2 linked regions of the Coturnix japonica genome follow. The protein of the gene in region 2 purifies or fractionates together with the protein of the main gene of each other region. This does not show direct contact. Links are inferred from orthologs where the notes say so. Each region holds a gene or a part of one and is shown on either strand. Other genes may lie near its edges.

Region 1 (15,274 bases), on a different chromosome or scaffold from region 2:
TACCTTGGTGACGTTTCTAGTGAGCCTCCCAACGTGCACTTTTGTAGGTCTGGGTGATGGGCTGCGCCGCTTCCGCTCCTTTTCATCTCTCTTCGGTGGCTTGGACCTGATTTGGACATGAAAACATTCACAGTTTTCAGGGGAAACAAGACGACAAGAACTAGAAGCTGGCATCCATTTTGACTGCCATTAATAGAAACATGCCTGTTCTAACAAAATTCACATCTCTAAGTTACGGAGAATGCAGACCATCCTTGGTAAAAATCTGTTTGATCACAACCTTGTATTGCACAAGGAACCTGCTCTGTAGGAATTCCTAAAGACAACATGAACTCACTTGGAGCGGGACCGCCTCCTGTTGTCATGTCTCCGTCGGGACGGACTGGGGGATCCAGAGGAGCTGCTGGAACTTGAACTGCGTGAGGTGCTGGAGCTCCCAGAGCGGCTTGAGGCAGAAGAGGAGCTCGAGCCACTGCTGGAACCAGTGCTGGAACTGGATCCTGAGCTGGAAGTGGAGCTGGAGCGGGACCTGGTAAAGGAAGCAAAACATGAGTGGAATACCCAGAAAAAGAATGGCTGAAGCTCTTCTCCTGGTAGACAGAAAGCAACTGCAAGTTACAGCAATGAAAACCGACTCTCCATAGCTCACTAATTCCACCATACTTCACAACGGTCAAAACCCCTTCCTTTAATCTTTCCATTGTGACCAATGCAATTCAAAGGTTGTGTAAATCTGAGCCGTGTGGAAGTCAGCAAAAGGTGGCTCTGAAAACATGTATTTGTTACTGCCTGTAATGGTAGCTACCTGGTGCTGCTACTCCCACTGGAAGCACTGCGCCTTTTGCGCGTCTTGTCCCGACCACGATCCTTTTCACCCGATTCCTTAGTGGCTGCTTTGTCCTTGGATCGGTCCTTTGATTTCTCTTCAGACCTATCCTTGCGTTTGGTTGGTGAGGGAGCCCTTCAAGAATACATGGCAGAAGGGATTGTTTAATATGGAAAACACACTCAAACAAGGAACAGAACAGCAACACAAAACACTGAACTTTAAATGTAATTGAAGACACCAAAAGAGCAGAGTTAAAGCATTAGGTAAGTTCGAGCTTTTTAGGAAAAAGGAAAATGTGTTACATTGCAGAGTAGCAGCTTTGCGGACAGCAGGTCCAGCACACAGAACTTACTGTCATGTGTAAGTTCACCCACAGAGATATTTTCAACTCCTTACCCTCACTGGGAAAGCCCCAGTACCCTACAGCATCCCCGCTTCCAGCAGGCCTTGAAAATCTGGAATGATTACCTAGTGCTGGATTTTTTGTTATTTTCTTTAAGACCCAGCAAACTCTTCTTTTTAATTCCCATTAACTCTGTTTCCCCTTCAGAGGTATCCAAAGCAAAACAGGCCTCACTTGTGCCAAATCTCAGTTCTAACCCCTTGCTTCTGAGAAGTGACCCCTAATTGAAAGCAACAGAGCAGCCAAGTGACAAGGTAAGAGTGTTCAGAAACAAGATGAACAGACACAGAAGAGCAGAGCTGCTGTGCACCAGTGGCAGCACACCAGAGGACAAGTGTGTTCTCCAGGGCACTGCAGCCAGGCACAGCACTGCATGGCAGTTACATCCAGCCCCTGGGCCAGCTCAACCTTCATGGAATACAGACCTGTATGCGTGTTTAAAGTTACAAATTGTGATATTCACAGAAGTACAAAAGACCCTCGCTATGTGCTCCCCTTGAAGGCACACAGAGGACATTCATCTCCTACACACGGCACACATGCAGCTCCTGCCTCTTGACAACATCCTCATCTCCAGAGGAAGCTCTGGTTTCTTCCATAGTCACCCTGTGCAGCAAAGCACATGCTTGGCAGGAAGAGATGGCTGCTGAGTAACAATATAGGCTGGTTCATTGAGCAACAGAGATCAGTATATTAGTTTGAGGAGCAATATATTAATTCAGCAAAAGGAATCAATGAGCACTAGTCCTAAAACTCTCCACTTCTGCTTTGCCTGGTGTGTGATCAGCCTTGTTTTCTCTCAATTCCCCTTCATAAGCAGCACTGGAGTCACGACAGACCACTGGTCATTGTATTTCACCAGGGGCAAGGACGCTTTCCTTGGATTTCCACACACGTTGTTTTGGAAGTTGCCCATTATGGCCTAAGAAGCAATGGACGTTTGCAAAATTGGGGAAAACCAGCTCCAGGTGAATCAAAAATGTCAGTGATGGAACTGATGGTGGAAAAATGGGGACAAAGTAAGTGGGCATACAACCAGCAACCACCCTCAGTGTAACTGTGCATGCCCAGAGGAACACGAACATACATTAATGAGTTATTGGAAGAGAATGAACGTGTGTGCCAGTGTGCTGCATGTGTAACTATTAACTGTTTACATGTAAAACCTGAACTCTGACAGCTCAATTCCAAACATTTCCTATGAGAGGGCTGCATCTATCACATACTCTAATGATCACCCAGTTCCACCTCTCTGCAAGATGGGAAGTGAGAGCTCAGAAGCCCAACAAGTGCTTTGCTAATGTCCTGCCTGCTGCTGGAGAGCTGGGAAGAGCTGCATGTAAACAGCACCATCAGCAGCACTCCTGTGTGCACCCACAGGGCTGGCACTTACCAGACTAAACAGCCAAATGCTGCTTACACATCCAGCAACCTCCTGTGAAAGGCTGCTTTTAGGCAGCCCTTAAGGTAACCAGTGTTCTTCTTTCACCCAATGAACACAGACCTTTCCCAGGACAGTTTTAGTTGGAAAGATCAGCCTGGGAGATGCAGCCTCTGGGCACTTTCACTTGTAGGTGCTCAGGCATTCACTAAAACACACCTCCATAAAGAATAACACCGCAGCATGAGCACATTAAAACAACACAAGGAACTTCTAAGCAACATCCACCCTTCCAAGAATGGAAACCAAACCCGACATCCCCAACATCTCAGTGTCTGTGCAGCACCCAGCCCAGCCCAGCCGGCCTCGGGGCACTCTATTAAGCTGCCCATTCCCTGCACACAGTCAGCTATGAGACCTATTCTTACAGAGAGCTGCAGCCAAGGCAACGACCTGGGCTCTCCCTCAGCCTTCCTGCAGGGCAGGCGCGCCCTGCAACGGCAGCTTGTTTATAGTTATATGAACAACAACTATAGCAAAGTTTTCCTCGCGTGATTTAAGGTCAGCCCGCTCGGCAGCTCCTCTCAACGCCCCCGGCCCAGCTCATGGCAGCGCGGGGCCCAGAGCGGCCGGGGCTCAGCCGCTCTCAGGCTGCGGAACGACGCCGGGCACAGCGAGACCCGCGGGTCGCTCCCGACTCGCTGCTCTGCCGCTGCCGGGCGCCGGGACCACCAGGCCCCAACTCCGCTGCAGGCCTCAGCCCCGGCTCCGCCCCGGCCCGGCCTCCCGCCTTCCTCCCCGCCCCCGGTAGGCCGCGGCGCCATCCCTATCCCCCGCGTCCATCCATATCCCCTCCGTCGGCTCCCGCCCGCTCCCCTGGGCAGCCCCGAGATGCGGCGGTGCCGCCCCGAAGCGGCGGCGGGGCGGATGGAGGCGGATGGAGGCGGATGAAAGGCCGATGGCGGCCGATGGCCGCACGGCGCTCAGCCCCAACACACTCACATCCTCGGCGCTCTCAGCGCTCCGGGCCCGGCGCGCGCGATTGGCGCAGAACGAGCGGGAAGAGCGAACGTGTGGCGAGCAGTGATGACGTCACCAGGGGGGAGGAGGGGAGGTGGGCGCCTTAAAGGGGCCGGGCAGGGGATCCATGTTGTCCTGCTGTCACGGTCTGTGGGCGGCCCGTGCCGTTATGGGCACCGCCATGTCCGCCTCATCATGTCCGTGATGGCTCCTGACGAATGGTGACCTTCCCAATGCATAGCTGGCTCTCAGTGTCAGCAGCTGGACGTGAGCCTTTCCCTATTGCTCCAGCAGAGCACAGCAAGGGCTGAACTGGCTCTTAAAGGAAATAAGATCTCAGTGGGTGTGGGTGCAGCTTTGGAATGGCCACCAGCCCCCCAGAGAATACAACAGATGGAGGTTCAGCTGAGATGCTGCATGGGACAGCAGACCAAGTGCCAGCGCTTCTGGGGATGACACTGGGGTGGGAGAAGCGGATTTACGCTCATAGTTAATGATGTTTAATGGGCCACAGCACGAGGGGAAAGCTTTGAGCTCCCACTGCTTTGGGGGGTGTCGTGGTTTTGTACTTGTTGCTGTTGGTAATTCCACATCATGGCTGAGGTGACAGACACTGCACCACGTCCCACTGGTGACATGGGCACTGTGCGCAGCCAAGGCTGCGTGGAGGCGGCCAAGGTGCCACCAGGGACATGGAATGAGTGGGAGGGGACGTGGGGAGGTGAAGCACAGAGGCTCAGGTCAGCAGTTCCAGCAGGCAGGAGGCACTAAGAGCTCAGTGTTTATTGGTTTTGCTCCGATCACGCATGGTTCATACAAGGAACGGGCTGACTCTGCTGTGCACACAGACACGTGCTGCTGGAGGCTGCCTTGGGAAGACTTCCAGGCACCCTGAAGCAAGGCCAGGGTACCCAACTGCCGGTGCCTGGATGGCCATGGGAGGTGTGAGGTTGTTGGCTGTCCCCAGCCTGTGCCAGCACCCAGCTGTGCTGAGCTGTGCTCAGCCGTGTATGTGCTGCAGCAGAGGCATCTCTGAGCTCCTCCCTGTGTTCACAGGATCTTTTCATTTTACTGCTACTTCTACAGCGCAGGCTGCTGCGTGTGCTGCTTCTAAAGCTACTTCCGCAAGCAAGTCTAACATGCACTGCCCTCCTGAAGCTGGAGACTTCCGTGCTGCTTCCAGCAAAGCGCTTTCAGGGCTGCTGGCCTGTCCCTTGTAGGCTGAGAGATGTCAGGCATTTGCTGCTTGGGTGAGGGGTTATGTGCTCATCCGAGGGGCAAGGTGAAGTATTCAGGCTGGAGTTTGCAGCCCCAGTGAGGACACGCTTCCCACCCTTAGGATTAAATGTTGGGCCTTAGGAAGACTGGGTGAGCTGGGGCAGAGCTACAGGAGCTGCAGGCTGTGTGTGCTGCCAGGAGTCTGCCTGGAAGGGCAGCACCACTCACAGGGCGACCCTGGCAGCCATTGTCTGCTTAGAGGCTATTTCCAGCACCTTTATGCTGCTCATCTGCATCCATTCTAGATGAATCCCGAGGAAATCCTCACTATTTGTCCACTTCAGCTTTTTTCCTTCCCCCATTGCTGGCTGGAATGGCTGTCAACTGTGAGATCTGTAGGGGTGTTTTTTTCTATTTTTCCTGGCAGACTAAATTACTAAATATCACAGGGACTGAAGCACAAGGATGTTAAGCACTCGCAGCAGATGAGGGAGCGCTGCAAGGCCTTCGGGGCAGCCTTTACATTGCAAAGAAGGGACTGAAAAGCCAGTGGATGGGGTTTAGTGGGTTACAGATCAGCACCCAAAGCATTTCTACCTACTGTTTACTCTTCTTCCCCACTGAGCCTCTGTCATTGTCTCCCAGTGTCACTGGTCACATCCAACTTCTCTGACTTTCAAGTTCTGCCATATGGGAGAGGGCTTTGGAGAGGGAAAACCCTCCAAAGCCCCAACACTCACTGGCTCCTCTCTGAATCTGCAGATATTGAACTGAAGCAGCAGGCAACAGCTTCTGCCCGGCACCCCCTGATGGAGCTACGTGCTGCCAGCCCCCGGTGTCAGTGTGTGTGCAAACCCCATCTCAGTTCAGCCAGAAGGGTCAAGCCAGGCAGCTGCCAGCTATCGATGTCCTCAGGTCCTGGAATAGCTTTGCATTCTGCAAGGTACCCGAAACAGGCACTTATTGCAGTGCCTAAGTCAAAAAGAAACTGGCCAGGCCAAATCATTTGGTGCTTCTTGAGATTCTGCCTTCTGTTTTTAGGCATTGCTTTTTTCTCTTGGTGCAGGGCAATGCCTGCCAGCCCCAGCAGCTGTGCTGGATGCTGCCAGTGAATTCCTGATTAGATCAACACTGCAGCTCTACAAACAAGATGGAGTGTTTATTCTCAAGAAACAACAAACGTACCTGACCTGGCCTCAGCACAGGGCAAGCTCTTTGCCCTATCTAAAGTGGAACTGCAATGTTGAGTATTCCTCCTCCCCTCACCCGGGTATGCCATAAAGATGCCCTGACCCCTCCCTCCCCCACCAAACCCCTTGATTCACTCCAGGTCTCCTCCAGGAAGGCTGCAATGCTGCTAAGTTCTGCAAGCTGCCACCACACGCCATGGAAACCGGAGCTGTTGGGGAACAGAAGGAGAGAGAGTGAGGCTGGACTTAAGTTGGTACCCAGAAACAGAGGAAGCACACAGAGACTGCAGGAGGAGGAGCAGGAGCACGTGCTGGTGGGCCACGTCCTGGTGGGAAGGCAAACCCAGCAAGGCCACTGCTGAGGGTGGGCTCTGCTTCTTCTCAGGGGCAGCTCTGATGGGACCAGGCACTGCTGGTGGGCACTTAAACTGCTCCCCAGGAGCAAACCCCCACTGCAGGGCTAGATTCACTTCAAGGCAGATGACAGCAATGGCTATAGAGGTAAATTTCTGTTTCTGTTACATTCACATGTAATGACCACAGCAGAGGGGTGTCACAAGCTGTGGCCACCTAACCCCACAATGGAGCTGTAGGCAATGGGCAGCGAGGGGAGGGACACGTACCAGCAACTGCTCTAAGTGCTGTCGGTCTCAGGCTGGCTGGCTGTTTCACGCCTGCAGGAAAGGAACAGAAAAAAAACATGCAGTTACTGAGGGGAAAACAATTGCATCCTGAAGTGAAAGCAGAAACAAACCAATGGAACCACCCTTGCAGGGAGGATGCTTGCTAGAGCAGAGCAATGGTCCTTAGCCCAGAGATTGCAGGTGAGACCTACTGATATATCATAGCCTAAGGACGTGGCAGCTCAGATCATGGGGAGCAAAGTGAGAACCTGCTGGCAGCATCCCACTGCTTGGCTGGGGTAGTGCTCTGTCCTGACTGCCATACTGGGGATGGGAAGGGGACAGAGCCAGAACCCCACTGGGTTGCTCTTTGCCTGCTTGGTTGCACAGCTCTTTGTACACTGACAGCTCCAGCCTGAACTCTCATCTTATTTGCATGGGTGTAAAACCCAAATGGCTTCAGTGTCCCAAGCTGGACTTAACACCTGAATGAATAAGACAAGGGCTGAGCTGTGGCAGTGCAGATGAGCAAATCAGCAACCTGAATGAGCAAATCAGAAGCCCTGATAGAAAGAGACGTCCTCTTCCCAGCTCACTGCCTCCTGGAGGTGGGCTCTCTGAATGCCTTTTCTGCAGTGTGCTGGGAGGCACCAAGAGCCTCCTCCACTCTCCCCACCTTCCTCTGAGCTGACGTTGCACTGGTGCAGCTGCCAAGGAAAGCTCTAATTATAAACTGGCAGATACTTGGTGTGCCTAAGGAAGGTTACTTCAGCTGTCAAGATAACCTGATGCTCAGGGGCTCTATGTCAGCTCTAAATTGCCCTGACAGAGGATTTGGGGTGGCTTACTTTGCAGAGCCAAAACAAGGCTAAACTGTATCATTACACATGCATACCATACACACATGCTGCATATGATACAATATATTGCATACAGGTAGTGCACCACAAACTGCACGACAATGGAGTGTGGCTGTGCAAAACCGAGCTCCCCCAAGCTGTGGATGACAGAAGTGTTCTCTGAGTGCATCTAAATGTTGAGTAATGAAACAGAGGAGAAAAAAAGAAACCCAAGCAGGTGCTTTTTAGTGGCTGAACAGTACAAGGTCACACTCTTCTCTTGTTTGCACAAAGCTATTATCCACATTGCTCTCCTATTTTACCCAAAGTGGCCAGGAAGCTGTACAGACAGTGAGAGCACACCTGGGGCTCCCATAGGTGTGATTACTCCCCATCCCACCACCTGGGTCATGGCAAATTTAGGGCTGAGCCCACTCTCAGTCCATTCAGCTCTGGTCCATCTGCATGGCAGACACTGAGGGATGAGCCTGCGTGCAGTGGCTCTGCCACAGTAATGAAGCCTTTCCTATTTGTACCCAGAGCACAACTCCCAGCATGTCTGCACAGCAACGGAGGACAGCTCAGACAAGGCAGACCAAGCTGCAGTGCCTTGCATGGCCATTGCAGCCCAGCAGGATGCTGGCCAGATGCTGGGTGCCATCAGGGGCTCAGCTGCCACCCAGAGGCATTGCACTGGGAAAGACCCCTCCATTTCCACTGCATTTCCCCAGACAGGACACAGAGTGAGTGATGGGAACCCTTGCTGACATGCCAAGCAATTCAGGTCACTCATGAAAACCTTTCTTCACTGGCCCACATCAAGGAAGGAAATGGTGCCACCTGCCCTTCAGTTCTTCTCCTCCTGTGTGGCCTGGGCTCCTGCCACACATCAAAGGAGGAGAAATATCCCAGGACTATTCTGTGTTCCCCCACATCCCCCATTCTCACAACATCACCTTTCCCTCGCCCACTCCTGCAGCTCCTCTCCTGCAATAGGAGCCACCAACAACACCAGGAGATGCCAGCAGCTCTCCTGTCACCCCAACCCCTCGAGGACACATCTGAGCTTAGCAGAAACAGAGCCCAGGAGAGCAAGAAAACAAAGGAAGGAGGTTGCAAGGAATGCTACAACCAAAACAGGGGTGCGCACGGAGAGCTGTCTTTACCAGTGACCCTCACGGTATCTCCTGGAAGCAGTCGGGTGCTGTCTTCTCCTCGCATAGGGATCTGTGTCTACCGTCTCCTGAACCGCTTGTTCTGGAAGCAGGACAAAGAGAGACACAGCTCTGTTGATAAGCTCCTTGAAGTCTTCAGCAGGCCCTGCAGAGGTTTGTGTGGCAATAGCTGCTGGTGGGGCTAAGGAGGTTAAGAATGGCTGACTCTAGTGCTGCATCCCATGTAAATGCTGTACTGACCCTTATCCTTGGCTGAAAATACCTCTATCCTCTCCAGCTTGATTATGATTTTCCAGTGGGGTGGTACATTTGGAAACCCAGCACATTGACCTCCTGAAATCACAATCACTGCACAGCACAGGGAGATCACATCCCACACCCTCTCCAAGAACCAGAAGGGGTTTCTGCAGCCATATTTTATCTGGCCCCACGCAGGCAGAGCTGGGGACTCATTGGCTTCCAGCACGCTCACTGTCCTTATGTGCGCACAGAGGAATGGTCACCAAATGGCTCCATGGCCACATCACTGGCCTCTCTTCTTCTTCATGCTGGCCAATACATCTGGCTTGATGAGTGCAGCACACCCTCCTCCAGCACCTGAAGTTGTCTTTCCTGCTTTCCTGGGAAGTGCCTCACCTGCTCTGTTTCTCACATCGGTTCAGGCAGAACAGAAAAGCACAAAACAGAATGGCCAGAAATGGGCCCCTTTTTGGAGAGCTGCCATCAGTGCGTTGCTGTTCTGTCTCCTCCTGGCTCACTGGTGAGCTGCAAATCTGTGCCTGTGCTTTGTGTGTCGCACACACATTTCACCACTGTCAGATGGTGCACACACAGTTACTGTGTTAAATGCGTGTGCAGGTGACTTAAGTCTGTATATAAATAAGCTGAGCTTTCCAAACATAAATCTGCAGGGTTTACATGAGGAGGAAGGAAGTGGGTGAAGTGGCTTCACCCGTGTGCGATAAAGCAGAGGAAATTAAAATTATGAGGGCTTCCTTCCCTTTAACACACACAATACTAAATTGCTGGCAAGCTGCTCAAGTCATTCAACACATGGCCCAGCTGGTTGGAGAGCCGGCTTTGCAGTAAGCTTTTGGTGAGGGGCTCCTTGGGATATGAGGATCCATCTCTAGAGATGCTGCAGACCAAAGGTAAGCGTTTGCAAGGATGCTCACAATAGGACTAGTATACCTATTTAAGTATTTAAATGGTTCAACAGGCAACGCTGGTATTCACAAGTGACTGCATCTTTCTAGAACACAAACAGGTGGGATGCCAAGTGCAGGCGTCCAGTGCGAATCACCCACTGTGTTTTCCTACTAACGCTAAAGGGGGAACAACCAAACCCAGGGGGAGGTGAAGGAGGCCAAAGTAGGTTTGGAGGTGAAAAGGTTTCAATATTTTCCTTGTAAGAACAGCATCTGCACTAATAATATATTGGTACTGATAAATGCTTTTCTCTCAGCGACATAAGATTTCTTCTAAAACAAAACATGGATTTAGTTATTTCATGTTGTTAAAAAACAAACAACAAAACATTTTTGTGGATGATAGTAGCAAAACATCTAAAGCTTCCAGAAGCTGCCACCAAAGGTAGGTGTCGACTGCATGTTTTTGAGGGCTGGTTGGGAACCCACAGGTTGTTGAAGGGCTGAGACAAGCACGAACCCCACGCGGCCCATTGTGGGAAGCCCTCCTTCATTTAACCAGATCTGCCCACTGAGGACTCAACTTGTGATCTCACCACTTCCACAGGAAGGAAGGGCCTCTTTGTATGGGGACAAGATAAACTTTGGTTTAGAAATCAGCAACACCCCCTGTGCCTACCAGATACTGCACAGCACTCACAACTGGACTCTGAGCACTAACGAGGAAGGAGCCTGAACAGTTGGCTGGAAGTACAGATGTTCATGCACGAGAGGGCAAAGCCAGGAGTGTTTCACCCCATCACTTCTGGTTGAAATGGCAAAAGCACAATCTCAGAGTTTGGCCCAACTCACCAATCTCTTCCACAATATTCTCAGTGCTTCCAGGAGGAGTGGTTCTCTCCTGTTCAGAAACAAAACAAAACAAACAAAAAAGAATAACAACCTCAGGTGGGTGCCTCCTTCACCTGTCCCTTTGCTCTGAGAGAAGAGCAGGAAGCCCTGGGGCTTTCCCCCATCACTTCAATCAAGACCACGGGCACCACAGGAGCAGAGCTGGAGCCCTTTTGCTCTCAGTTGCCTTCAGCTGCTGCACCCAGCAAAGTGGTCTCCATCCCATCCAGAGTGAGTCCTTCAGTTATGCTGCTGTGCAACCACATCCCGAGCAAAGTCCTTCTCAGATCTTTTTTTCCTTAAAAAAGCAACATTCAGAGACCCAAAAATTGGCACTGCATGCTCCAGAGTTTGGGTGAAAGTGCAAAGAACAGCCACTGCTCATCCTTCCAAAAGACACCACTGGCATGGCTGACATGCACACGGAGGAACGACGACAAACTCAGCAGCCACAGCATAGAGAGAAGAAGATGAACTGGGAAAAGAAATGAGGCCAAATGGCATTTGAAGCTTCACAGAACTTGGAAACACAGACACTGATCCCCAGGTGGTGAGCGTTTGGGGCTTTGTAGTTTGGGATAATAAAAGAAACCGTCCCACTGACTTCAAAAGATCAGAACAAAGAATCCCTTCCTTTATCCAGGGAGAAAAGAACACATCTCTAAGTTGCTTTACTCTACACGCAAGTATCATTTTTGGTCCCATCCATGTCAGCCACATGCTGCTGTCACTGTCAGTGCCCTCTGCTGCTGACAGCCCCTCGTTACACTGCAGCCCCACTGCAGCAGCTCAGATTCACCCTTGGGCACAGAGCAGCTGAACACAGAAATCACCTTTTAACCAACCCCAAAATACCTTCTGGGCTCTCGACTGTGCCTTGCATGTTCTGTGCTCATCCTGCTTATGGCAGCTTGGAAATGAATGTGTCTTAAGGAAGAGGGCTGCATAGGAGCAAGGGAGGCACAAACATGCAGGGCTGCAGCCAGCTGCCACGCTTTGCTCTCCCTCAGCAAACAGCACTGAGTGCTGCCAGCAAAACTCTGCTGCAGCTACAAAGCAGGAACAGGGATACAAGTGGCTCCCGAGCTCTCACACGAGTATTTAATGATAAGGATGTGTTAGATTGTTTTCCTAGAGCCTATGGATTACAGCGGATCAGCTGCGAGCCCAGCGCCTGCCTGCTGATGCTGTGAACAGCGGGTTTGCATTTCGGGTCAGCTCACAGGCGGGCGCCCTTTGGGGTCACTCCTCATAGGCTTGTAAAATAAATCTCTGTGCTCCACTCCTGAATCTGCTTCTCTTGTCTCCAAGCACAGCCGTGGCTTACTGAGTTTCCTTGCAGGGAGCTGGTGCAAGGAGTCATGTTCTTTACTCGCATGGCAGGCACAAGCAGCTTGATCAGAACCAGATCTTTAGGCTGAGAAGACTTGCTGGGTGCCCAGACAAGTTGCTGCTGCTGCTCAGGCTTTTCATCGAGCGCTGCCTGCTCTCCAGAGGTCTCTTTCTATTCACTGGCTCATCCTGTAGCAGGCAGGGTCTTCAAACAACCCCTAGAGGCCATCTGAGCAGCCCAGGGAAAAGTTGGCCCACTGGGGCTTCCCCACTGCCCTCCAATATCCCAAACCTGGTGCCTTCCCAACTCCAATCAGTGCTGAACTGAGGGAAGGAGCGGCTGAACAAAGGAATGGAAAAATACAGGACAAACAGGAAAAGCAAACCCGGCTATCTCCCCCAGGAAGCACTCCAGAAACCTTCCTACTGGCAAAGCTGTGCTGTGACATTAACTTGACCTATCTGGTTTAAAGATGGCCAATGGCTCCTAATGTTGGTTGGGATATCTGAACGGGTCACGCTGGCAGGGCCCTGCATTCCTGCGGGGGCCTGACTGTAACTCAATGCTGTGCTGGCCGGGCTGCCCATACACCAGCACCCTGCCCACAGCAGCCCTGCACCACCAGGTGGAGGGGCAGGCAGTGGCTGAGGGCAGAGGGGATGCTGGAACTAAGGCTGGTTTGAAACAAGGCAGCTTTCAAGAGCTGTGGGTTTTCCAGCTGCTCCACAAAACGTTGCCCCCTGACACAGCCTCACAGGAACACCAGGATGCCCAGAGAGCAGAGCCTGAACAAGAGCAGCAGGAGGAGCAGAGCACAGGGCCAGACGAGCTGCTGCTGTAGGACTCAAACCTGCTGGCTCCCCTGGGCACAAACAGTTTATAGGGAAACCACAGCAACTCCTCCTGCCAAGCAATTACACACAGGATTAGCGCTTCCCTCACACTCGATGTGGTGTTATGTGGTTATGGCTGCCCCGGCTCCCAGCAGCTTGTGCTTCCTAAATCCCAAAGGGCGTCTGATGCAGAGCAGACATTATAGAATCAAGCTCAGGCCTGTCAAGGAGCTGCCACCCACAGATGTGCCTTGTGCCAAACACAAGAGGTTTTTTGCTCCATCCTTCCTCAGACTCACTACAAGAGAACAAACGACCACATCTCAACACACCACAGTCAGTTGGGCTAAGGCATATGGCTGGTGGCAAAGCAAAAATGACTTAGAACAACTTAAGAGTGATTTAAACTAACATACAGATCTTCCTATGCCCAGTTGCCTGCTGTCAGCCCTCTTTGTTCACTATGGGGAGGCTCAGATTGATCCATCCCAAGAAAGTGGCATCTTTGTCCCGCTGGCAGAAGAAGTCTTTATCCTGTCTAGGAAACGACCTTTGGGCTTATGGTGGTTCCTCAAGGGGCTTAACCCAACCTGGCTCCACATCTTGCTGTAGACCCACGTGCTCCTTTAGAGCCCCCTGCAATGCACCAGCATTTCTCTCAAAGCCCTTCAGCTGTCCCTGACCCGAGGACTGATACACGATCGACTGTAAATCTGTCATTACACATTCTGGTACCGTTGCTCATTCCGGTGATTTGGATAGCTAGCAACCATGCTGGATTCCCTTCTGATGACCAGAAGATTTTAAAACCTGGTTTATCAGAAGTGATGCAGGCTGGAACAAATGGCGCTGCTGGTTTATCTGTGAGCTCACTTTGTGTGTTTGCCAGGGCTGGAGAAACCCATCCCTTCAGGCTGGGCTGCTGAATGCTTACAGTTTTGCAAGGAAACAGAGCTAGCACACCATCATCCCCAGCTCACTGCCCTGCGTCCTTCAGGTTGAAGAGCCTTGGCCTTATTCTCTTCATCTGGCTTTCCCCCAGATGCACTTGAGATTTAGATTGATGCTTTCTGAACTGACACTGAACTGGACGTTTGTCCAAAGGCACAAAGACCAACACTATCCGAGCACATGATCCCACACACGTCTGCAAAAAAGGTATGGCATGGACAGCCATGCCAGGACTCCAGCAGGTATCAGATGGAAAGGAGGTGTATTTACTGATCTGGGGTTAAAGGGGATGCATTCTCTCTGGGACACAACTATGTCCTGACAACCCTGAGTTTAGTGGAAAGGCCCTTTTTCTTTTGCTGGCACATTGGCCACAGCAATTAGGGAGATATATGGGCCACTTTTGCCCCTCTCATGAAAACATGAGAAAAATCTATGGCAGCAATTCGGAAGCAATCCAAAATAACTGGCAAGGAGAATGCTGAGCTAATTAGTGTGAGCGGAGTGCTGCTCCAAATGAGTTGCACTGCCTGCTTCCATCAGGAGCTCAGGCATCCCTACTACACAGTGCTGTGCCACAGAGGGGAAGGAGCATGGAGGACAAACTGACATGCCAGTAGGATAAAGCCATGCTGATATTATTATTGGTATGATAGTAAGACCTTGCTTGCCTGTTTATGGTCATTTTCTGCTGTTGCTGCCACCTTGCCTGCCTGATCTCACCAATACCTCGTCCAAACAACCAGATCTATCAAACATACATTGGTTTTCCATCAAATAATATCCACTCTTTCTAACCTTTCCTTAAATAACTGAATTATTTCCTGATTTGGCCACGTATTCTTTCATCATCTTATCACACATCACACGACTGAAGACGCCCCACCACAAAATGTGATGGTGATACCAAATGATAGCATTTACAATATTTACAATACAATCAGCTTACAGCTAATACCAAGGCTGAAATTTACTTACACAAAGTCCTCAAAACCATCCTTCACAGCCCCTGCCCCCCCCCACCATGGGCTGTGCCCCCCAGCTCAGCTGCCCAGAGCCCATCTGTGGCCATGGGCACCTCCAGGAGTGGGCACCCACAGCTCTGGGCTGCAGTGCCAATGCCTCACCGCCCTCTGGGTAAACAATTTTCTCCTCACATCTCATCTCTTTCAGTTTAAAGCCATCTCCTATGTCCTATAATTATCAGACTATGTAACAAGTTGCTCCCCACCAAGGGTTTTCTAAAACCTGTGGCTGTGTTGAAAGACTTCCAGATTCTGCCTTGTCCTAACAGGAACACATTCACTCCCATTCACAGCACCAGCTTGGCTGGCGATCTATTTTACCAGCAAGTAGGAGGCCCACGCCTCTTTGCCATCTGTTACCATTCATTTTTCATTGCTTCTGAAAACAACCTGAGCCTGACCCCGCTCTGATTTA
Region 2 (14,992 bases):
TCTCTTGTTCCTCCGCAGGACCTGCCCAACGCCATGAATGCAGCAGAAATCACAGACAAACTGGGACTGCATTCTCTTCGTCACAGGAACTGGTACATCCAGGCCACCTGCGCCACTAGTGGAGACGGGCTCTATGAAGGACTGGACTGGTTGTCCAATCAGCTCCGAAACCAGAAATGAAACCATAAACCTTCCTCTTCCCTCTTTTTCCACCCCCCTCCCTCTTATTTCCTCCTATTCGCCCTTCGCTTTACTCTAATGTGGCAAACTGTGCTACTTTGTGGTATTGAGTGCCGGAAGCTGTTTTCATTTCTTTTTGTCACAGTATATATTGCATCATGCTGTAAATGTGGCAAATACAAGCCAGAAAACAGTTAGGTTTCTTATTTAATGTAAATAGTTTTTGTTTCCAATGAGGCAGTTTCTGGTACTCCTATGCAATATTACTCAGCTTTTTTTATTGTAAAGAATCAACTCACTGTTTAAGTACTTGGAAGGGATGGAGTGGCTGAACGTAGGGGTTGCCAGCGGTCCTTGTGCAGTAGAGCTGAATTCTATCTCGGATGGGTTGTGAGATCTGTGAGCTCCATTTTGGTGGTTGGTTTTTAACCTGAATATTGTATGATGATGATGATGATTGTTTGGTTATTTTTTTTTAATAGTCGAGGAAAAGTAACAAACACTTGAAGACACAAAGGTTTGCTGTAGTTCTGCTCTTGTAGCTCTGCTGGCTCCTGATTCCAAACGGTGAAGCAGCGGTTGGGACCAGGTTGAGCTGCATTGAACACAGGTTGTAACGACCGTATCTCTGGCTCTTCCTGTAGCCCACGTTTGTTCCTACTTGCTCTGAGATCTGTCTGAGCTGGTTTAGGTGAGTTATTGAACCTCCGCCTTTTGGTTCGGGTGAGATTTGATCGCATCCATAGCGAACTCAGATCGGTTCTTGGGAGTCACCTTTTTAAGCCTGTTCTATTTGTCCAAAGTGTTTTGTACTTTTTTGTGTGTCAACCACTCCAGAAGGCAAAACTTACCCACAGAAAGCACAGCCTGCACCAAGCCCTAAAGCTCTATAGTCGGAAAGTACTGTACTGAAGTAAGAATTGCCATGAGAAACACCAAACATCCTGTATAGTCTCTAGGGGAATACAAAGAGCATGAGAGTTAGGAGAGTCATTCCACTCTAGAAGTATTCGATCCCATATCTGTATATGTGTGAAAACCCTTGGCATCCCTCATACTGCAAGGTTCAGATTTGCCATCAGAAATCAAAAGACCTCTTTACTTTTTTCTTTTGTATTTTGATAAACACTGAAGAAGCTGGAGCTGTTCAACTTTAACTTGAGGAACTATCAGAACTGGTTTGTTTAGTGTTGTGGAAACCTTTATTGCTTTCAATACACGATTAGTAATCAACTGTTTTGTATACTTGTTTTCAGTTTTCATTTCGACAAACGAGCACTGTAATTAAAGCTATTAGAATAAAAAAAATCTCTTAACTATTTCATGTTTTTTATGCCTTGCTGTTCATTTGATCATCTTGGCAAAATCATAATGAGATACTTGTTGAATAAAAAGTTTCATGAAACTTGCACTGGTTTTGTTCTCTATCATCCCTTTACGCTCCCTGTTGGCTTCATGTGTAGCCCCATCTTCACCTTATTCATGTCCTTGTGGCTGGAGCCTGGGCTCTGCTCCTGCACTGAGCTCCTCTTTGTAGTACTCGGTGTTAAGCAAACAGTGACAAGGGATTGCAAAACCCTTGTAAGTCAGGTTATTCTTTCCAAGCTGTTTGTTTGTCTCACCTTGTCTATCAGGCTCTGAATCAGGCTCTGTGCGTGCCGAGCTGAGCATCTATTTATTCCTGTTCTGGGAGGGGACTGAACCTGAAGGGCCGGCTTTTCTGCAGAGCTCCCAACTCCTCTCTCCTCCCACACCTCCATGAAGGTGGATGCTGTGCTGTGCTCCAGCACTAACCAACAGCTGACACCACATTAACTCTGTGTGAGGGTTGCACGTCATACAGCCCGTGCTGGAAGGAGGAAGAGATGGGGAACATGATGTTATCTGCGATGGGTGAGATGCGGGAGTAGCCTTTGAGGCAGCACCAGCTTTATTCTGGCCTGGGCTCAGCCGGGCCCACAGGGATTTTAGCCATCCATCCTTCCCTGCCTGCAGGAACCTGTGTGGCAGCTCGGGCTGGATGGGTGCTCAGCCCTGAGGAGGGGATGGGGTGAGGATCCTTCACAGCCCTTTCTCAAACCTTAGGATATGGGATCGGGGTAGGAAATAGGTACAGCTCACTGCCCAGGCCCCTGAAAACAGCAGTAGGTGACCCTGAAAGCAGCGAGCTCATGGAGAAGGCCTGGATTTGTATGGATGGTGTGTGGACATGGGGCTGCAGCCCCTCAGATGGAGAGGATTCACACTGTGGTCACACTGGGCATCAACTCCTGCCAAAAAAAAACCATCTCAAGGGGAAATAAGAGTCCATGCAGCATCTGCTGCCCGCACCAGCTGGGTTAAGCACATGCCCACAGCTGAGAGGGGAACGGGACAGAAGGGCTTTATTCCAGCCCATCCACTGCAATGAATGCAGCCCTTGTTCAATGTGTGCTGCAGGCAGAGCGGTGTCACAGCCCCTCGGCCAACAGAAGACCCTGAAAACTGCCCGAGTGCAAAGTGACACCAGTCCCTGCATGAGGTGTTTGTCTGCCAGGACACACAGAACAGCCTGTGTTGGGTGGGAGGGACGGCAGCACCATCACAGCAACACAGCTTTGTGCTCCCTATCGTTAATTACATCCCATAGATCCTACAGAGGGGATGTGACACACAGCATCCAAATCGTAACACACAGCCAACAACCAGCTGGTGCCCAACATCCAGCCCCGGCAATTGTAAAGCTGTGACTTTAATTTAGATAACAACCTTAAAAAATATATAGAACCTATGGAACCTCTTCCAGCAAAACCCCCTCAGTCATCCGAATCTATATCGTGCCGCTGCCTGGCCCTGTGGGATCGAGGAGATCGGCTCCTGCTCCTCCTGCTGCCCTTGTGCCGCGGTGATGGATGTCGGTGGCGGTGAGAGGACGGGCTCCTGCCCGAGGCTCCGCTGCTGTGAGAGGAGCCCGAGTGTCTGCGGTGCCGGTGCCGCGATGCTTCGTCCTGGCCTTTCCTCCGGTGGCGTCTGTAGGGACAGAACGGCGTCACCCCGTGGGCACAGCCCTGCTGGGTGCCCCCATCTGAGCACACTACCTGTCGTCCTGGTCTGGAGAGGAGGAGGAGGAGGATGAAGGGGTGTTGTCTCGTTTGTGGTGTTTGTCTTTTTTCTTCTCCTTCTTGTGCTTCTTCTTTTTCTTTTTCTTCTTCTCCTTTTTGGATTTCTTGCTGCTCTCCGTCCTGTGGGAGCAGAATAGGGCAGCACCGATGGGTCCCCGTGCTGTAAAATCCCTCCAACCCCTGTACCCAACACCCAGCCCTGCTGGGCCTTCACCAGAGCTCCTTAAGTAAGGAGAAACAGTAAAAGTTAAGAAGTTCTGAGGGTGACCCGGAGGTTTAAAGGGATTCAGGCTGAAGCAGAACAAGCCCAAACCGAGCTGCAATGGATGCAAAACTGTTTGGTTCAGCACAATATTGCCAGGAAAAGCAGGGCCATTCCCGGCTGGTTCCGACCCACCAACCAGGGCTGGGCAGTGTGGGATGCATCACAGTCCTCACCGCTTCTCCTCCTCCTTCTCCTCCTTGTCCTGCTTCCTCTTGGATCCAGATGCCTCGGGACTGCTGCAAACCTTCTGGTGCTGGAGTATAGGGAGAGAAAAGCACAGAGTGAGTGCTTTGAGTGGCACAGGCCAAATAAAAGGTCCCTCTGCCTTTAAAATTAACTCACAGATCAACCCCAACGTACCGTGAAGACAGAGAGCCCCATCTTGGCCGCTTCCTTGTCCTCCTTGGAGAGCATCACCCGCCCGGCGCTGCCGCTGGGGGCAGAAATGACACCCATAAAACCCAACATAAACGTTGTGTTTTGTTTTTAAACAGCTGCTCTGAAATGCAGCATTTCAGTGCTCACCTGGAGCTGCCCAAGCCCACCACCCGGTCCATGTCCTCGGCTCGCTCTGTGCTGTCCCGTTTGCAAACCTCAGCCAGGTCCTGTGGGCAAAACATTGAGAGCCCATAGGAACACAGAGCACGGGGGATGTCCTGGCCTATAGGGACAGCGGGGATGGCCTCACCTCCTTGCTGAGGCCTGTGGGCTGCCTCTTCACGTTCTTGTAGCCCCTAGTGACAGAAGCAGGCAGTCACAGCATGGCCCCATTCAGAATGGACACATAAGGATCCTCAAGTCTAAACCCCAGCTCTGCACAGCACCATCCAAACCCCATTTTGGAGTATGAGAGCCCACCATTCCATGCTCAGCATTCCACGCCTACCACTCCATTATACCCAATATTCCATGCCCACCATTCCATGCCCAATGTTCCATGCCCACCATTCCATGCCCATTATTCCATTATGCCCAGTGTTCCATGCCCATTATTCCATCATACCCGCCATTCCATCATGGCCAATGTTCCATCATACCCAATGTTCCATGCCCACCATTCCATCCCCACTATTCCATCATGCCCACCATTCCACGCCCAATGTTCCATGCCCACCATTCCATCATGCTCAGTGTTCAAAGCTCACCATTCCATCATACCCAATGTTCTACGCCCACCATTCCAAGCCTACCATTCCATCATGCCCAATGTTCCATGCCCACCATTTCATGCCCACCATCCCATCATGCCTACCATTCCATGTCCAATGTTCCATGCTCATGATTCCATCGTGCCCAGTGTTCCATGCCCACCATTCCATGCCCATTATTCCAACATGCCCAATGCTCTATGCCCACCATTCCATACCCACTGTTCCATGCCCACTATTCCAAGCCTACCATTCCATCATACTCAATGTTCCATGCCCACCATTCCACACCCACCATTCCATGCCCACCATTCCATCATGCCCAGTGTTCCATACCCACTATTCCATGCCCACCACTCCATCATACTCAATGTTCCATGCCCACCATTCCATGCCCATTATTCCATCATGCCCAATGTTCCACACCTACCATCCCATGCTCACCACTCCATCATACCCAATGTTCCATGCTCACCATTCTATGCCCACCATTCCATCATGCCCACGATTCCATGCCAAGTGTTGCATGCCCATCGTTCCATGCCCATTATTCTATCATGCCCAATGTTCCATGCTCATGACTCCATCATGCCCACTGTTCCATGCCCACTATTCCATGCCCATTATTCTATCATGCCCAATATTCCATGCCTACCATTCCATCATGCCCAATGTTCCATGCCCAGTGTTCCATGCCCACCATTCCAAGCCTACCATTCCATCATGCCCACCATCCCACACCCACCATTCCGTCATGCCCACCGTTCCATGCCCGTGATTCCATCATGCCCAATGTTCCATGCCCGTGATTCCATCATGCCCACTGTTCCATGCCCGTGATTCCATTATGCCTGATGTTCCATGCCCACCACAGTTCAGACTGTCTATTTTTGGGGAGGGTTGTCACAGGGGGTTTGTAGGGAGGTGCTCACAGTGCTGCCATCATGGCCTCCTGCTCAGCCAGGCGCACGGCCGCCAGCTCCTCCTCACGGGACAGCGGGGTGGGCTCCTGCTTGCCCTTGGCGTACCACGTCAGGTCCTTGCCCTTCTGCCAGCGTCCCACCGGTGCCATCAAAGAGTTTCCTGCAGGGATACAACAGCTCCACATTATCCCCAGTCCTTTATCTTCACCCCACACGCAGGGCTGGGGATGAAGGCCTTACCCAGGTAGTTCTCGCGCTGTTTGTCTGTCTTGACGTCTTCCCAGCTGAACTGGTCCTGGCCCCCCCGGACCCCTCCTCGGGATGAGCCGAACATGGTGACGGGGTGCTAAAAGGATGGGCCCTGTTATCATGGCAGAACAGCAGGCTGCCCCTGCAGGGCAATGGGAGGAGGAATGGGGAGGCACAGGGCCACCCCAGCAATGCATTGTGGTGGGATGAGGGAGATGAAGGGTTCCCCTGCAGTGCAATGAGGAAGGAGGGCAGGGAGGTGCCCCCTATTGCAATCCTAAAGCCATAGGAGGTTTTAGGTATCAAGCAGGGGTCACGATGATGCCTTAGTGGTGGGGGCTGGGGGGGGGTTGTAAAGAATAGAGGGGAAGGGTAAAGTATGGGGTGGATTCTACAATGTCTGGAGGTGGAGGAGGGTGCACAGCTTTGGGGAGGGGGGGGGTTACATGATCAGTGGGGTTGGAGTCTGGAGATGGAGGGTTGAATGGGTTTGGGGTAGAGGGGGACTGCAAAGCCTGGACATGAGATCTGTAGTGGGTTGGAGGAAGGCGACTGCATGACCCATTAGGGACACACGGGCTGGCAATGGGCTTGCATAGGTTAGAGAGGGGACACATAGCTTGGCAATGGAGGTCTGAGTGGGTTGGGGGGGGTTACCTGTACTGGCAATGGGTGTCTGTATGAGCTGGGACAGCCCAACGGGGGCTGCACAGCTCGGGGGCACGGGAGGGAGGGGACCGGGGCCGCACACCGGGATCATAGAGACGGTGGAAGGGAAAACGGCCGAACCCGAGACCCCCAAAGCCCGACCCCCCCCAACAACGGCACGCACCTCTCCGGGCCGCGGGGCCCGCGCACTGCAGCCCCTCCCCGGGTGGTACCACCGGGCCCGGAGGGGTGGAGGACGGTACCACCGCAGCGTGGAGGGGGAGAAGAGGAGGGGGGAGGGAAACGGCCCAAAGCAGGCGTAAAATGAGGCAAAACCACCTAAAAACCCTAATAAATCCTTAACAAAATGGCTTTTATTTCTATAGCTGCGTCTGTCAGCTCGGTAAGGAGGCCTTGGTGGGAGGTGACCCCAAATCGGTGCTTTATTTCTTCCAGAATTTCTTGTATTTCTCCAAATCCAGCTCCTCCAATGTCTCCTCCTGCTTGACCCGCAGTTTGCTGGGGAACTGCCGCCTCAGCCGGGCCTTGCGCTCAGCCTCGGGCAACGTGCTGCTATCCAGGGGCAGCTGCAGGGGGAGGGATGGCAGAGGGTGAGGCTGCAGCACCCAAAGCAAAGCACAGCCCTGAGTGCACTCATTGTTGTGTCGAACCTCTTACCATGAGGATCCTTTTGGGCTCCTTGTAGCGGATGTGGATGGTGGAGCCGTCGGTGCGGACCAGCAGCAGCGGGTAGAGGCGGCCGAACACCTGGCGGCGGAGGTGGGTGATGGAGGTGCGGTTGGAGTTGTGGCGGCTGCAGGATGTGTGAAGGCAGCGGGGCTGCAGGGCACTGCAAGAGGGAAAGCAGTCATGGAGCTGTAGCGTTATTTGAGCTGGAAGGGAACTGTAAGGGTTGCAGAATCATAGAATCATTGAATGGCCTGGGTTGAAAAGGCCCATGATGCTCATCCTATTCCAACCCCCTGCTGTGTGCAGGGTCACCAACCAGCAGCCCAGGCTGCCCAGAGCCACATCCAGCCTGGCCTTGAATGCCTGCAGGGATGGGGCATCCACAGCCTCCTTGGGCAACCTGTGCCTCACTGCCCCATTGCCATCTGCACACAGCATTCCAGGTGAGGTCTCACAGCACAAGAGCAGAGCAATACTTGGTATCCAGATAACCAACAAACTGCCCTTGGACGGGTTTTCAAAGAGGCCTTGAAGGGCACATTAATTAGATGGGACACTGGAGAACAGAGTTTCCTGCCTGAATTTGATCTGTGGGAAAGCACCAAGCACCAGGGCCTGGACTACCCCAAAATACATAGTGTCCCCAACTACATAGTGTATCTCCTGAGTGTGTGAGGGTTGATTACCACAGGGCAGGTGATGAACCCGCTCTTCAGACCCCACACTGGGGCTCCCAATGGCCGAGCATCGCTCTCACCTCAGCGCTCTCCACACAGCCGCCATTGAGCTCTATGCGAGGGGATGCGGTGCTGCCACTTGGGGACAACCTGTGGACAAGGAGGGTTGAGAACAGAACCAGGGGATGGATGGCGTGAGGTGACATCCCCACAACACAGGGACAGCCCCAAGATGGCGCCCACCCCTCACATCAGATTCAAGATGGCGCCCGCCCCTCACACCGGATTCAAGATGGCGCCCGCCCCTGCAAGCGCTCCTGCCCAAGATGGCCCCCCCCCACACCCCCGCAATGGTTTGGCCCCCAAAACACCCCACAATGGTTCAGCGCGCTGTGACACCCCCCACACACCATAACACGCCATCCCCGCCACCAACACACCAGGCAACGCGATGCTTCAAAATCACAACTCTTCCTCTTGTTCGAGTCCCTCACTCTTCCTCTTACGAAATAAACCCACGTCTTTCCCCCCCGTCCCCCCCCACACTCCGCCCTTATGGTTTGCCCCACTCACGTGACCTCACCCAGCTATTTCCCGCCTGGCGCCCCTCGTGACGTCATCAGTGCTGACGAGGACGCGCTGCGACTCGGAGCTCCTCCTCCCAAGCTTGCCTCCCCTCCCCACAGTACTCCCCCTCATGAGCTGGATGCGGCTGCGCGGGGCATCGCCCGGAGCGAGGCACGTGAGCCGGTGCTGTGTGCGATACGGGCGGTAGGGCAACGAGCAGCGGACGGGGAGGGAGTCGGGTATCACGAGGAGCAGGTGAAAATGGTGGGGGGTTGAGGCCTCCTCGGGTCGGTGGGAGCACGCAGAGTTCAGGCATACATTGCCCGTCTCAGAGCGGACTATGAAGGCCAGAGGGCTGAAAGCTGTAAGCGACCTCACAGGGAGTGTAGTGATGAGGCCAGCTGAATGTGAGGCCTGCATGTGTGCCACAAGGCACAAGGCCCACATGGCATTCCTGGGCTTGGATGCAGGAATGTTTCACCACACGTCAAACAAATCACGGCTTAGGAGAAAGTCATCCTTGCCACACTTAGTAAGTCATCAAAAACGCTGGTGACGGCGCCTCACCTGTGGACCCTGCAGGTGAATAACTCCACAAGACCTTTGCAAGGCCAAACCTCAGTAACATGTAACAACAAGCAAGATGACTAGGAGCATGGGTCCGAAGAAGTAGTGACAACAAAGAGTCACGCGAGAAGGGCTTAGACGAGAACATTGTTGCCCTATGAGACATAGCAAAGACCTAGCGGGACTGTTTCAGAGAAATCTAGAGAGATGAGAGCTGAAAATGACGCAACACTCTATTACTTTCCCCTCTCCAAATAACACACCTAATATCAGCAAAACGCATAGCTCTCCACCACAAACAATCACATCATTGAATAGAGGTTTTCTTCCACACAGGGAGTGGGATTGAGATCCCATCCTTGAGTTGGTTGAATGGATGTTGTGCTCAGGGTATGGATTTTGAGCAGAGGCTAGTTAGTTAGGGCAGGGTGGTTTGGTTGCGGTTGGACTCGATGATCTTTAAGGTCTTTTCCAACCCCATCAGTTCTGTGTTTCTAAATCAGCACTTTGTGGGTTTGTGGTAATCATTTGCAGGTAAAATGTTGCTTGCTGTGCCCACCAGCTGCTGCTCAGCTCCTGTCAGTGTTTCTTTGTGAAGGAGGAAGGAATTGCCAGCTGCAGGTCAGAGAAATCCCCGTATAGAATTAATGAAGGCAGGAGAACGTGCCACTGCAAACCTGTTTGGAGGAAGGGTAAAAGCAAGCCGTGCCTTTTATTAACCACAACCCAAGGGCATGTTAGGCAGACTCACCTCTGAGCTCTGGCTTCTTACACACACAGAATGACCCTGGGTTGAAAGGGAACCTCAAGGATCATGTAGTTTTGCAAAACCCCCCTGCCTGGGCAGGCACCAAAAGCATCCAGACATTTACTAGATCAGGTTTGCCCAGGACCCCATAGATCCCATAAGACCCCATAGATGCCCCATAGGACCCCATAAGACCCCATAGGACCCCCATAAGATCCCCATAGGAGGACCCCATAGATCAGGTGGCCCAGGGCCCCGTCCAACCTGGCTAACACCTCCAAGCGAGCGGCGGGCATTCACAACCTCCCTGTGCAGCCGTGTTCCGAGGGGCCTAAGCCACTCTCCTGAGTGAAGAACGTTCCGCCTTAACATCCAAAAACCCTAAATCTTCCCTCTTTTAACTTAAAACCATTCCCCGTGTCCTGCTACATAGTTCCTGTGGCTCCTGGTTAATGAGTGGCTCCAGCAGCTGTTAAGAAATCAGTCCTAAAAGTTACAAAGGGGGAGTTGGGAGTTCGTGGAGAACATGCTAAAAATAGGGAATGGGATTTTATTCCTAATCCAGGAGCCTTTAGCTGGGGCTCCCGACTGACTGTCCTTTAAGCTGCTTTTCTCCTTTGTAGGGTGGTTTACCTTCTCTTTAAGACTTCTCTTCTAATCAGCTTTGTTTGTGGTTAACTCTTTGTGCTGCTTTGCTTGCCACCTGCCAGGTGAAATTCAATGTGGCTGTACCAAGCAGGACCAGGCTGAGATTTGTTCCCTGCCTTTGGGATGGTTTCCTGTGTGCTTCTTGTTTGTGGCACAACAGCATCAATGCGGCCTTCACCTGCAGCTGCAAAACCACACTGCTGTGGGTTTGGGGACCCGTGGTGGTTAGGCTGGGTTGAAAACCACTCTTAAAGGAGAGATGCTTTGTGCTTCATGCTTGGAAATCAATGAAGTGCCAAAATCTGAGCAAAGGGGTGTGTGTTGGGGGGGCTTTCAATTCAATAACACCACAGGTGCAAGATTCTTAACATCCAGGTATCCAGAGAAGGAAAACTGGGTATTGGAGGGGTTTGTTATCGGGTGGAGGGGTGAGTTATGAGGTCACGAGCCTCCAATACAAGACTTGAAGGAAACTTAGTCCTGTCTGCTGAGGATTTGGGAGGTTGTAGGTTTAAAGGAGGCTTGTAGAAACACAAAAGCTGGAGTGATATGTTGAGGCTGACCAGACCAGGTATTCCCTGAGGACATGAAGCTAGGTCACTGCTTTGTCTGTGTCAGCAAGTGCTGGCACCCATCAACTTGTTAACAGTGTTTGCCTGTGATTTTACCTGCCAGGAGAGCAGAGAGTGGAGCAGAAAGCACAAGAAGAGATTAAAGATCAGCGAGCAGTTTCCATTGGCTGTCTTAAAATTGCAGCTTGGTAATTAGGCAGCTCACAAATAGCTCAGCTCTGTCTGCCTGCTCAGATTGAGAACCTGTCACCACTGCGAGGAGCCGGACTGAGAGGGAGCAAAAGCAAAAGGTAGGGGTGCATTGGAAGGCAGCACTCAATGGGTACCGTGCCTGTTTCTCTTATTCCTTCCCATTTTCCTTGGGCTTGGATGAAATAATCACAAATGATTTGAGCAGCTTTACATTCCTGTTTGCCTGATAGATGGTTGCAAGTATCCAGGGGAAGGAGAAGACCAGTATATTGGGTGGGGTATTTCTCTTATGGAACGTTTCACAAGCAGTTCAGTGATGCTCCACTGCTGGTTTATGGGTGGGGGGAACAAGAAGAGACAGAGATGCCTCTGAAAAGCCAGCAAGAGCAGCATTGCTTCCCTGCTCTGGGCACTGAATGGGAGTTTGGTGAGGTGGTGCGGGGAGGTGTTTGCTTTCTGTATTGAGCAGTTAGGGAAAACCTGGTCTATTTACAGCTTAGCAGAGGCTCAGGGATGAACAGCAAAGGTCTGTACCCAAGAGGACTTGCTAAGGATTTGTTCATCGTTTATAATTCTCTTCTTTTTGGGTGATGGAGCCTCATTCAGCAGCATGGTAATGTATGTATGGTGGGACTAATCCTGCAGCAACAAAACAGATCCTTGACAGCTGATGACTGAACTTGTTCTTGTGGCCATGTATGAATTAGATGTCACTCAGACTGTGTCATCTTTGTGTATCTGTCCTTTTGTTCAGGTTTGGATAGCAGGGAACACTGAGAGCTCGTGATTTGCTGGCTTTAGTGCTGCTTGATTGGTGTGTGTGAGGTAACAGAGCTGTGCAGCAGGGACCTGGGGATAAGGAGGGACCTGCTTTGGGTCAGGTAGGCAGCAGAGCCACATAAGCCAGCCACACCATCCCTGGCAGCAGCTGCTTTTGTAAGAGGTTGCGTGTGGCTTAAGGCTCTTTGAAAAGTGATTTGCAAGGTCAGGATGACATTGCTATGATCTGATTTAAAGTGGGAAGGCATTATGCTGTCTGTGTGCTGAACGCTCCTTGGGCTAGAATAAAGAGATGCCTTTTGGGGGCCTCACTGCTTGTAGAAGAGAAAGGGTTGTAAGTAGGAAAAATAGACCTGTTGGGTTCATCCTGCTCTTAGCATCACCTCTGCATTAGAAGCTGCCCATTTGCTGCTGGTGGATGACAGTCCCTAGAGAAAAACCTGCACTGTACTACAGAAATTTCCTCCTAATTCACATATTAATAATTAACCGTTCTCCCTCCCCAGAGGGTGCATGAAAACACCCAGTCTTTGCCTTCTGTCTGAAGAAACAACTGCAGAGAGGTCCATGTAACCCAAGGCTGCACTCCTCAGTGTTTTCCATCAGCTCTCATCTTCTGATTTCTCATGATTTGACATTTTTTCACCACTATCTTGTATGGAATGTTAAAGGACAGGCAGTTGTGGATCTGAGATGCCAGTGGGAGCTCAAACCCATATTTTCTACTTATTTCTAACCAGCCATGTGTTTGTTTGTCTGTGTAGCCATGCAGGGACCGAGACCAGTGGTTCTGAGCGGCCCATCAGGTGCAGGGAAGAGCACTTTGATAAAGAAACTGTTTAAAGATTATGAGAACATCTTCGGCTTCAGCGTCTCTCGTGAGTATCTGATTGTCTCTTTGGAAGGGCAGTGGATGAATTTGAGGCCACAAGCCCAGAGCTCAGTTCTGTACCTCTATTTGCGTCCCATGTGACAGGCTTCTATTCTTTGCCTGCATCTATGTGTGGGCATTTTGGTGTCTGTAAGTGAGTGCAGGGGACCTTTATTCGATCTAATGCAGTTCCCTGTAATGTGAAAGTAGCCCCAACTTGCTGACGTGATCCACTCACACCTGGCAAATACCCAAGAGAACATCTCCCTTAGTCATGAGAGATGTGGCTTGCAGTATTTGAACACTGCATCCTCTGACACACAACAGGTGGGTGAGTGCAACTTCTCTGTCCCTGGGAGCCTGTGGGAAAGGGGCATTGGCTTAGGATAGAATGAGCACAGGGTGAGGGGTTTGTATGATAACCATCCATTTACATGAGCTGAATTATTTTAAATCCCCTTCCTTTCCCACTGTATTCTATGAAAGGATGTGTTGCTCTCCTTGGCATTTTGAGAGGGGCTGTAGGGTATTAATGCAACACCGTGGCCACCAGTGTTACTATGTGCTGCTGAATCCACAGCAGAGTGGGGGAGTTTTCCTTAGTCAGTTGCTTGTTGTGAGACAAATGTTTCCTTTCCCCTTTGTGATACCTTAAAGATTACCCTCAGTTTGGGCTGCACAGGCAGCTCATTCACTCTGTTGCCTTCCTACACTGGGTTAACTCTTGCCAGTCCTGAATAAAATAACTGGCATTGCCTTCCATGCTGCCCATCAGATTTCGTTTGGTTTGCAGGGTGTCTTCTTCAAACTTCAAACTTGCATCATTTTAATGACTTCCAACAGGCTTTAAAGGCAGTCTGGCTTATTCACCTGCTCCACGCAGCACTTTGCCCTTGTTCTTTAAACCTGGCTATTTTAAGCATGTCTGTAGGTGCTGCTTAATCTTTTCCAATGAAGGTAACTTTGCAATGTAGGACATTGCTAATTCCCTTGTACCAAGGCAGGGATCCAAGTGCCGTGTCCAGGATTACACAGGAGGTCTGTAGCTGAATGGGAAACGTTTTTGATTGACTACAGTGTGATTGAGTTAATTTCCATGTGTGGTGCTGTTTTGTCTTTTACTACCACTTCCTTGTGCCTGCAGTTTTCAAGGCTGTTTTTTTGCTTGCAGATACAACGAGGCAGCCGAGACCCGGAGAAGTAAATGGCAAAGGTGAGTGTGTTGTAACTGGGCATGTCCCACCAGACACTAAAAACATTTAATTTACTATGGGAACTGCAGGTAAGTTATGGTCCTACATTCGTGTTTATAGGGTGCATTTCTGTAGGCAGAAGTAGGGAGTGTTCAATAATGATCTATTTGAACATATATACCTTTTGGTTTTGACCTCAGTGGCTACAATTGAATTAAGCAGTGGAATGCTAAATGGGGCACATGCTCCCTGTTTTTCTAGACTCTCTTTCTTTGAAAGTCTTGGTTACTGTGTCAGTGTGGGGCTCTCAGTTTAAGCACTGCAGTCTGTATGTGAGCACTGAGTGGCTTGATTTCATAGAATCATAGAATGGCCTGGGTTGCAAAGGCCCACAGTGCTCATCCAGTTCCAACCCCCTGCTGTGTGCAGGGTCACCAACCAGCAGCCCAGGCTGCCCAGAGCCACATCCAGCCTGGCCTTGAATGCCTGCAGGGATGGGGCATCCACAGCCTCCTTGGGCAACCTGTGCCAGTGCGTCACCACCCTCTGGGGGAAAAACTTCCTCCTCACATCCAACCTAAACCTCTCCATTTCAGTTTAAAACCATTCCCCCATGTCCTATCACTGCCCACCCTCACAAACAGCCATTCCCCCTCCTGTTTATACGCTCCTTTCCAAAGTGCCAGGTATCTCTGGTTAGCTCATCCAAGGCACAGTGTTCTGGGAGACGCACCTGCTTAATGAGGTGTCTTTATCTGAGTTAATAGTTTGTGTGCAGCTGACAAGATGCTTTTCTGCTTTGTTGTCATATTTCAGAAAGAAACAAATGAGCTTTGTAGTTAACTTCCAAAGGCAGCTTTCTTTCTGAAGTGAAAGGGAGATGTTTGAACAAAAGTCAGAGAAGCAATTCTGTTCTTTCCTATTTGATCTTCCCTTTTACGTCTCTTACTCTGTGTCTTTTCCCCATTCTAGT

The links.
Region 1: the proteins of C2H1orf35 (region 2) and RNPS1 purify together in Homo sapiens (co-immunoprecipitation; 3 studies listed by BioGRID and IntAct, with this or other methods). This does not show direct contact. The link is inferred for Coturnix japonica from reciprocal best matches to the Homo sapiens genes C1orf35 and RNPS1.

What each region holds. Positions count from the first base shown.
Region 1 is NC_029529.1:12,009,149-12,024,422, forward strand, and holds the start of RNPS1 (RNA-binding protein with serine-rich domain 1), read right to left. Parts: upstream 3,801-15,274; 5' UTR 3,618-3,800; coding exon 3,616-3,617; intron 962-3,615; coding exon 806-961; intron 530-805; coding exon 338-529; intron 107-337; coding exon 4-106; intron 1-3. UniProt on the Homo sapiens protein: Part of pre- and post-splicing multiprotein mRNP complexes. Auxiliary component of the splicing-dependent multiprotein exon junction complex (EJC) deposited at splice junction on mRNAs.
Region 2 is NC_029517.1:2,063,619-2,078,610, reverse strand, and holds C2H1orf35 (multiple myeloma tumor-associated protein 2), read right to left. Parts: upstream 6,800-14,992; 5' UTR 6,699-6,799; intron 6,675-6,698; exon of another isoform or gene 6,524-6,674; intron 5,964-6,523; 5' UTR 5,952-5,963; coding exon 5,858-5,951; intron 5,778-5,857; coding exon 5,627-5,777; intron 4,281-5,626; coding exon 4,235-4,280; intron 4,152-4,234; coding exon 4,072-4,151; intron 3,980-4,071; coding exon 3,907-3,979; intron 3,800-3,906; coding exon 3,720-3,799; intron 3,402-3,719; coding exon 3,258-3,401; intron 3,190-3,257; coding exon 2,976-3,189; 3' UTR 2,839-2,975; downstream 1-2,838. Other genes in the region: ARF1 (ADP-ribosylation factor 1), read left to right, coding at 19-180; MRPL55 (39S ribosomal protein L55, mitochondrial), read right to left, coding at 6,958-7,101, 7,193-7,364, 7,962-7,987; GUK1 (guanylate kinase), read left to right, coding at 12,722-12,833, 13,998-14,039.